2 linked regions of the Cricetulus griseus genome follow. The protein of the gene in region 1 purifies or fractionates together with the protein of each later gene. This does not show direct contact. Links are inferred from orthologs where the notes say so. Each region holds a gene or a part of one and is shown on either strand. Other genes may lie near its edges. The genes, in order: Ptprr and Mapk14.

Region 1 (4,325 bases):
CTAAATCTTATGTCAGTACCTCACAGATAGACCAGGATACTTAATTTGTATTTTCACAAAGTGGCCATTTTGATTAAAATCCCTCCCTGCCATTTTCATATTACTTTTTCTGGCTTTCCTTGGGGTAAATGGCTGAACCTGACTTGTTGGAAACTCCAGAATCATGTCCCCAGCTTAGGAATCTGGCAGACAGGAAAAGAAATGAAAAACAATTAATGATGCAACGATTTATCTTATAAAGGGATAACATAAGGAAGGGTAGCTGGATGAGAAAACCTTTTGGTTTGTGTAGCTTTAGATGGGGTTTTTGTTTATGTTTTGCAATCAGTCTCCACACTGTAGCCCAGGCTGGCCTACAGCTCACTATGTGTTTTTGTCTTTCATTTCAATCACAGATCCTCCTGCCTCTGCATCCTGCGCACAGAGGTTATGGGTGTATGCCACTGAGACCAAAGGCTTTGTTTTAGTATGAAGACTATCAGGACATTTGATCCACTCCAGAAAGATCTAGTTTCTAGTGGCAGATTAATGATAGAAGAGAGAAAATTACCCAATAATTACCTTCCATTGGCATATCCAAATTTATTTATGCTTTGGCTATTGATGCTCCTTAAGATTTCCTCTGATTTTTTTAAATAAAATTTAGACAATAAAATCTTAGTACTTATTCACTGAACTCATTTCAATAAGATACATTTTCAGGTGGAGAATTATTGGGTCAAAGGTCATGAATATCTTAATACTATTGGGAGTGCTTTGGTGCTCTTAAAAAATTAATTTATCTTACTACCAGCAATGTGTAAACAAGTTTAATCAAAGTCTTACTAGAGTTATGGCATAGATAGTGGGATTCTCAAAGTGTTTAAATATTCTTTACCCTATGAGAATGACATTAGCACATATAGACAAAGAAAATGTTTTCCTTGCCTTTATAGTATCTTATTTTCAAACTAAATACTTTGTTAATAGTAATAATTATAACAATTATTTATTTTGAATCATGTATTAAACCTAAGTGGTATGGTAGGAAACAAATTAGTTTTTGAGTCAGACCAGAATATAGTTGAATATCCAACTCATTAATTGGGTTTGTTATCAGTCATTTTAATTTCCTCTTCAATACATAAGTGAATATCAATGTTTCCTAAGTCATAGAGAGTTAAAATTAGATGTCTGTGAGACCCCTGTTATCCAGTGGGAAAATTATTCATGAACATGGCATCACTTTTAAGAGAACTTATTTTTTTTCTGAAAAGATCTTGTAAACATACTATTTTCTTTTAAAGGAAAAAAAGGAAACGTTTTTCTCTTGCAACACAGTGTCCACAGTTCATAAAATTCTCATTTTACAGTTTCACTAACTACCATGGGGAAAGAAAAAAAAACATGAATTTCAATGCTAGTAAACTTAAACAGTGAGCACCTGGAGGGTCTCCAGGGAAAGCACAGGCTGATGCTGTAGACCAGGGATCGGCGGTGTCTCTAGAAATAGTAGCAGCGGGTTAGCTCCAGGTGACTAAACGAGGCTTCAGCTCAGCTCACAGCCTTTATTAGTGCAACTTGCGATGGTGAGGGAATAACAAGAAGAATACAAATGGAAGTCGGATGCCTCACAACATTCAGCCAGTTGCCATTCCGGTAAGAGAATCAAATCCATCGGGATCGGTGAGGGTGGTCGGGGTGATGCCGTGAGGTCGGGAGCATAACGTTGGGATTTCTGTTGGTGGCTGCTTAAGTGAGTCAGCAGAGAACCTTTTTCTTCTCAGAGAAACAGAGTTAGCCTCTAAGTCTGAAATGAAGAAACCCTATGCGGTTATCCAGTGTGTCTCAACAGTAATGACTCAGTATCCTCCGGAGTCTGGAGCAAATCTAACAACCACCTCCAAAGAATGGAATGGCAAATGCATCCACTTGAACAGAACCCGAAAGTTTCATACACGATAGAAAGCAGGGCAGATGTTTTAGTTTGTTTGTTTGTTTGTTGTTTTTCTATTTTGTTTAGTGTATTCCCCACACTAACACTGGGGAAAAGATGACCGCATTTATGAAAATCAGAAAATGAAAGAAGGTGTTACAGTGAGCTGAGCCAGGAAATCTAGACATTTGTACAATGGAGGCATCTGGGGCCCCTACCTTTACATACAGACTTCACTAAAATGACAGTCAGTATCTTCTGCTGTGATCTAGTAAAGAGACTGATGAATGAAAGTTTTGATATGAGATGTCCCTGGCCTAGTTCCCAGCTGGGAATGGCTGCTTCCCTGTTTTCCTTCCCTGAACCAAGAATCTTGCTTTTAATTTTCATAGCTCTCTCAATCACTCAAAAATTCAAAAATTATTTATGAATTCATTCCTTAATCTGCATAGAAAACAATATTCTCAGATAGAGAGAACCTCACACAATGTTTACACAGAGGTTTATTTCACAAAGTATTTATTGAATTCCCACTGGGTTCTTGGCACTGTGTGCAAGGTCTGGACATACATCAATGAAAAATTAGAATTTTTGTTTGAATGTTTAAAATGGTATTAGTGTTTCTGGTATTTGAACAAAGTTATGGACCGTTTTGATTTTATCTGTGGTCTTAAAGAATCCATAACAATGTCAAAAATAATGTAGTTGGTATTTCCATCCATTGTTTTAATAAAATTGGATTAACTTCCTGCCTAATCCAATATTGCAGAGAACAATCACCCAGTTTGAGAAATCAAATTCCATTTCCTATAAAATACAGTGATGCCAGATTTTTTTTCTCCTTTTAAGTGATCCCTAGTATGAAACATGAGCAGATAATAATGTCAAATGAGGGCCAAAATTTCAAGGTAGAAGTTGAGGTTTAGCAACCATATTTTAGACTAAGGAGAAAGAAGGGAGTTTTCAATGATTTTTCTTTTAGTGTCTAGAACACACACCCACATTATTTATATATATGCATACATATAATTATATTAGGAAGAGGGTTTCCTACATATTTAAAACTTTTACATACTAGATAGTAAAGCTTCAAAGAAGATGTGGCTTTTTCTTTCTGATACCAAAATACCTTCCCCTACAGCTTCCACAATCTTCAGTTTAACTTTTTAAATGATCACCATGAATCACTGAGTTAATAATTGATGCTGAATTGCATGTTATAAAATTAACCATTTCTATATTTAGCTGTAATAAGGAAGAATATGCCATATATAGCCTCTTGTTCTTCTGATCAATTCATTTACTTCTATGGGACAATTTAATAATTAAATCACAGATAGAGCAATCATAATAAACATCACAGCCCAATCTTACTAAAAGGGAGGAAAAGTCTCATTGTAAGAATCAAGACGTACTAAGATGAAACTGGCAGTCGTGCTGTGCATAAAAGCTTTGTTGCAGACAACAACACTCAGGATCTTGCTTTGCTAGAAATATGATGTCTCTGAAAGTGCTAATCAATAACACATTGTGGAAAATTATATGGTTATTATTCTGTTGCCATCTCCTTCTGCAGATAAAAGAACCAAGGGCACACTAAAACTTATTCTACACTCATCTTTGTTCTCTTTAAGTTATGCAGAAAATTGTTAATGCCCACTGTGACAAAAATAATCAAGATTACCAAGGGCATCCAACCATAGCATTTTTACTTGTATCTTAAAAACACATGCCAGTAAACCACATTTCATTTTTATCATGTTTCCTGAAGAATTGTGTAGCTCCCCAGAGGAGAGGAAGCAGAGTCCTATTACACTCACTGAAGTGAAATATAAACTCCTCCTTGGTGGAAATCAAAAGAAAGAAATGTGTGACATCCATCCATGCAGGGTTAGACTCCAAACCACTCAGAAAGTGTTTTAGAGCTTGTGTGGTCTCATGCCCTTTCATAGCTCAAGCTTTTATATGTGATCACTTGCAAGTCTGGAAGTAATATACCCCTGTTGTCTGAATACTGGAACGAACATTAAAGAGAAAAAAGGAGAGTAGCCATCTGACTCTTTTCCTCATATCGAATAAAACACCAATGGCCAGTATGGATTAATAATTTCTTCATTTTAATATGTTATCTATATATTTGGTGGCTTAAAACAACCTCAGTTTATGACTAGAAAGCAAGTTCTCTGGGGGATTTAAGACTTCTAATTTATCTCTTGGATGTCTATTTGTAAGAAGTTCTAGACACCATTTAGAGATGAGTCTTGCCTTTGCTCACATTGGGAAGTCTCATCTGTCCTTTCAGATGTTCTCTGTGAGTGAAACAGCCATAGCAGCAATAGTTAGGTATTTGTCATCTTTTGTTTGTTCAGCTGTTTGTTGTTTGTCCTTTTGTTATATCTGGGGCTTTGGT
Region 2 (4,605 bases), about 94 Mb from region 1:
GCACCCTGGGCATCCTCGGAAACGGCCTCTCCTCTGCTCAGACGAACGCAGAGAGGCGCGCACGGTCACGTTTATCTTCAGCTTCCAAGACGGGGGGATGCTTGACCTCTCGTGGGAAGTCGAGCCGGGGCCTCAGGTCAGCAGGTTTGTCTCCAAGCTGCGCTGCCAGAACTCGCTGCCCCGTTCCCCATGCGCCCGGGCGGGGATTAAGTCTTTAAAATTCTCTGAGTTCACATTCTTAGGAGTCTCCAAAGTTTCCTTTAAATCTCTACAGTCGGGATGGTTCTCATGGGCAGGAGTCAGGCTCAAACCCCAGGAATGGGTTTTGGGTGTTTCAGAAAAGCAGCCCAGGCTGCCTGCTAGCTACTCATTGCACAGCAGAGGCTGGGCTTCCTTCCAACTGCTGGGGTCACAGAGAGTAATAAATATATATTTATTACATTTATTTATTACATATATATATTTATTACATATATACATATATATTACATATATATAAATATATATAAATAAAATATATATAGTGTGTGTAAAATATTCATATACATTATATTCATATATATATGGAAGAGGAGACCTTCCTGGAATACAATGACCTACCAGCATGTGTGTGTGCATGTGTGTGCGCACATACGTGTGGTGTGTGTGAGCATGTGGTGCATGTGTGTGCGCGCATACGTGTGTGTGCGTGTGTGTGCACGTGTGTGCGCGCACGTGTGCGTGTCTGTGTGTGCATGTGCGCGCGCGTGTGTGTCTGTGTGTGCATGTGCGCGCGCATGTGTGTGTGTGTGGTGTGTGCATGTGTGTGCGTGCATACGTGTGTGTGCATTGTGTGCGCGCATACGTGTGTGTGTGCATGTGTGTGTGTGTGTGTGCATGTGTGTGCGCGCATGGGTACATACGTCCCTGTCCCTTCCAGCACAGGAATCGAACCCAGGACCTCGCAAATGCTACGCAGGCCCCGAGCCCGGCCGGCCCGGCCCCTGGAATTTGCTTCTGAAACGTCCAGGGCGGCTCTTCAGCCTGAGAAAACTGAAGGGGGCTCCTGGGCGTCTGGAGGGGCGGCCTGGGCTCCGGGGCAGGGGCAGCGAGCGTCCGTCCATCAGTCCGTCCGTCTGTCCGTCCGTCCGTCCCTGGGCAGCCAGGGGCCGGCAGCTTTGCCGCCCTGGCGCCAGCGCTCGCCCAGCCGACCACAGCGAGGCGCGCGCGGCACGCGCTGCGCCCTCCCCGTCCGCCCCGCGCTCCTCCCCGCGCTCCTCCCCGCGCTCCTCCTCTCCGTCCGCCCCGCGCTCCTCCCCGCGCTCCTCCCCGCGCTCCTCCTCTCCGTCCGCCCCGCGCTCCTCCCCGCGCTCCTCCTCCCCGTCCTCCTCCGCCCCGCGCTCCTCCGCGCGCTCCTCTCTCCCGTCCGCCCCGCGCTCCTCCCCGCGCTCCTCCTCCGTCCTCTCCATCCTCCCCGCGCTCCTCCTCCGAGAGCCCCTGCCCCGAAGCCCTGCCAGCCCCGCCCGCTCCGTGTTCTCGCGAGAGGCGCCGCCTCCGGCGCGCTCGCAGCGGCCCCTCCCACGGGCGGGTTCCGTATTGGGTAAGATCCCGGCGGGGCGGGGCGGGGCGGTCGGACGGGGCGGGGCCGTGGGCGCGGGCGGGACGGGGCGTTGTTCTCGCGAGACTTCCGCGAGAGGCTCCGGTCGTTGCCGGGAGGAGCGCGGCGGCCGGAGCCAGCCCACGGGAGCCCGGGCGGGCGGGCGGCGCTGCAGCGCTGCGAGCGGGAGTCGTGCGGCGTCGGCGCGGCGCGGCTGCAGCGCAGCGGCGGGAGCAGCCTCGAGCCGCACAGCCGGCTCCCGCGCGTGCCCGCGGCTCTGACAGGGGCCGCGGCGTCCAGCCAGCCCCGCGCGGGCGAGCGGCGGGCGAGCGGCGGGCGAGCGCCGAGGACAGACAGCGTGCGGCTGCAGGCAGCGGCCCCGGCCGCCGCTGGAAGATGTCTCAGGAGAGGCCCACGTTCTACCGGCAGGAGCTGAACAAGACCATCTGGGAGGTGCCCGAGCGCTACCAGAACCTGTCCCCGGTGGGCTCGGGCGCCTACGGCTCGGTGTGGTGAGTGTCGCCGGGCCTGGGGTCCGGGGACGCCGGAGCCGGCGGGGCGGCCCTGCCTGCGTGCCTGCGTGCGAGCCTCCGTGCGTGCGAGCGTGCGAGCCTGAGGCCCGGCCTGTGCCCGCGGCTCCGCGATGCGCCCAGCGGCAGGAATTCTGCCCCGGCCGGGCCCTGCACCCCTCACTCACCCACCCGGGTGCAGCCGCGCGGGCTCCACCCTGCGCCCCTCCCGGGCTCCCTCCGCAGCCCCGCAGCCCCGGGAGAGCGGGCGAGCCAGCCGGGCGGAGCCTCTGCGAGGAGCGGCAGGGCACACAGCCTGACCCCGCGACTGCGGTCACCGGAACGAAACTTGCAAGAAAAAAAAAAAAAAAGCGCTCCCTTCCCGGATTTTTGTTTTTGTTTTTTCCTTTTTCTTGCAAGACTCCATCTGGAGGGGGGACAAATCTGGCTCCGGAAGCGTTCTTTGGGAATTAGCACATGAATTAGCAGCACCCCGAAGAGCCTAGAATGCTGACTTTATCTCGGCGAGCGCGGTGCCAGCTTGCGTGCTGTGTTTCCGATTCGGTTGAAAGCGTATTTCCTTTTCGGGGCGGGAGGGTGGCAGCGCCTGCAAGGACGCCACCGCTCGCCGCTTAGTCACACACCACTGCTCATTTCAGTGTTGCTCCACAAATCAGTTTTCCCATGCGGGCCACAGGGACTCCAGATCAAGTGATCGGAGGTGTAAATAGCTTTTTAGTTGAAATAATTCCTGGGATGCTTTTCTTTAAGTCCCTTTGAAGATTTGTAGGGGCGCGCTATCAGCTTGCTTTTTTTTTTTTTTTCCCAGGGCTGAGGGACGTGGCTTTGGTGAGAGCAAAGGAAACAATGTTTCTCAGCTGTCATTCACACCGTGATTCTTGATTCTTTGTTGTTCATTTGAGACTTTGTATGTCCCTGGCTGCCCTGAACTTCACTCTTCTGGCTGGCCTGGAATAAAGGCTTTTACCACCTTTGCAAGGCCCTGGGAGTGGGTTTCAAATTAAATCCATACTATAAAATATCCACTCCAGAAGTGATTAGGAACTCTCCAGGGTTCATACAGTGTCTTTTAGGCTTAGTGTCTTCTTAGAGCTCTGGTTCTTGAGGTTCAACAGCTTAGCTCTTCACGTGCTTTAGTAATTTATATACACTCCTGTTTTCGAAGGTTTGTGAAATGGTTTGTTTTGTAACAAATTCCAGGGTTCTGCATGTGTTAATCTTTAGGTATGAGTCCTGTGTTACTTAAAGTCACACCATGAATTTCCTGTTTGGTAGAACCTTCTGGGTAATTGAGATTGTGCAATAGTGTCCAGCAACAGATCATATTGCATTTGTTGGCGCAAGCTGCTTAAGTTATGTTGCAGATGGCACCAACCCTGACGTCTTTCTCCCATGTCTACAGAATGGCAGTTCACACATCTGTCATGTGTATTTGCGACTGTTATCTTCATTCTCTAATATTTAATAGCTCATTAGCATACCTCAGTCCGTCATTCCTAATTGTTAGAGTATCAGGCTTTGCTTTCCATTTGAATGTTCAGGGAGTGGTGAAACAGAGTATCTCCACTGTAGGCCATCTGGGTGGGTGAACTTGCAAGGTTTCCTATGGACACTGCTGTCCTGGCCGAAGAGCCAGGTTTGCAATGAAGTTCAGTGGTGAAGTGCCATTAAAACTACGCTCACTTCCTCTGGTGCTGTTCTTTTCTATGAAATAGAATTCAGCACCACCTCACAGTTGGAAAGGACTTGTACCAAACAGCTTCTTAAAAGTAGGTGATACAGGGCAGGGCGGTGGTGGCACACACCTTTAATCCCAGCACTGGGGAGGCTGAGGCAGGCGGATCTCTGTGAGTTCGAGGCCAGCCTGGTCTCCAGAGCGAGTGCCAGGATAGGCTCCAAAGCTACACAGAGAAACCCTGTCTTGGTCTTGAAAAACCAAAAAAAGTATGTGATACAGGACCAGTGATGTAACTCATACTACAGCCCCTGGTCTTGCATATGGGAGGCCCTGCATTCCATCCCCAGCAATACACAAACAACACAAAGCAACTCATTAGCAACTCATTATGTATAAAATGTAAAAAGGTATGCAGCAGGAAGCCTTCTGTTTCTGTTCCCCAGCCCTGTTTTCTCTTCCTTCAGTGACAACCGCTATTCGGTTCCTTGCATGTCTTTTTCAGAGACGAAGAGTTTGTACCAGAGATGTAAGGTGTAGCCTATAACCTGTCGATGGGGGAAAAGACAGCTGAAATTGTACATGATGACTGAGCAAATAACTCTCTCAAGTTATTTGAAGCTGGGTTTTTTTTTTTTTGAGGATTTATTTATTTTATATATGTGTGGGTATTTTGCTTACACACATATATGTGCACCCCATGAATGCTTGGTGCCATGGAGACCCTGGAACTGGAGTTACAGACAGTTGTGAGCTGCCATGTGGGTGATGGGAATTGAACCTGGGTCCTCTACAGGAGCACTGACCACTGAATCATTTCTTCA

What was found.
Region 2: the proteins of Ptprr (region 1) and Mapk14 purify together in Homo sapiens (affinity purification with mass spectrometry; 4 studies listed by BioGRID and IntAct, counting the BioPlex papers as one, with this or other methods). This does not show direct contact. The link is inferred for Cricetulus griseus from reciprocal best matches to the Homo sapiens genes PTPRR and MAPK14.

What each region holds. Positions count from the first base shown.
Region 1 is NW_023276806.1:140,075,912-140,080,236, reverse strand, and holds the start of Ptprr (receptor-type tyrosine-protein phosphatase R), read left to right. Parts: upstream 1-1,333; 5' UTR 1,334-1,605; coding exon 1,606-1,638; intron 1,639-4,325. UniProt on the Homo sapiens protein: Sequesters mitogen-activated protein kinases (MAPKs) such as MAPK1, MAPK3 and MAPK14 in the cytoplasm in an inactive form.
Region 2 is NW_023276806.1:233,801,180-233,805,784, forward strand, and holds the start of Mapk14 (mitogen-activated protein kinase 14), read left to right. Parts: upstream 1-1,801; 5' UTR 1,802-1,972; coding exon 1,973-2,088; intron 2,089-4,605. UniProt on the Homo sapiens protein: Serine/threonine kinase which acts as an essential component of the MAP kinase signal transduction pathway.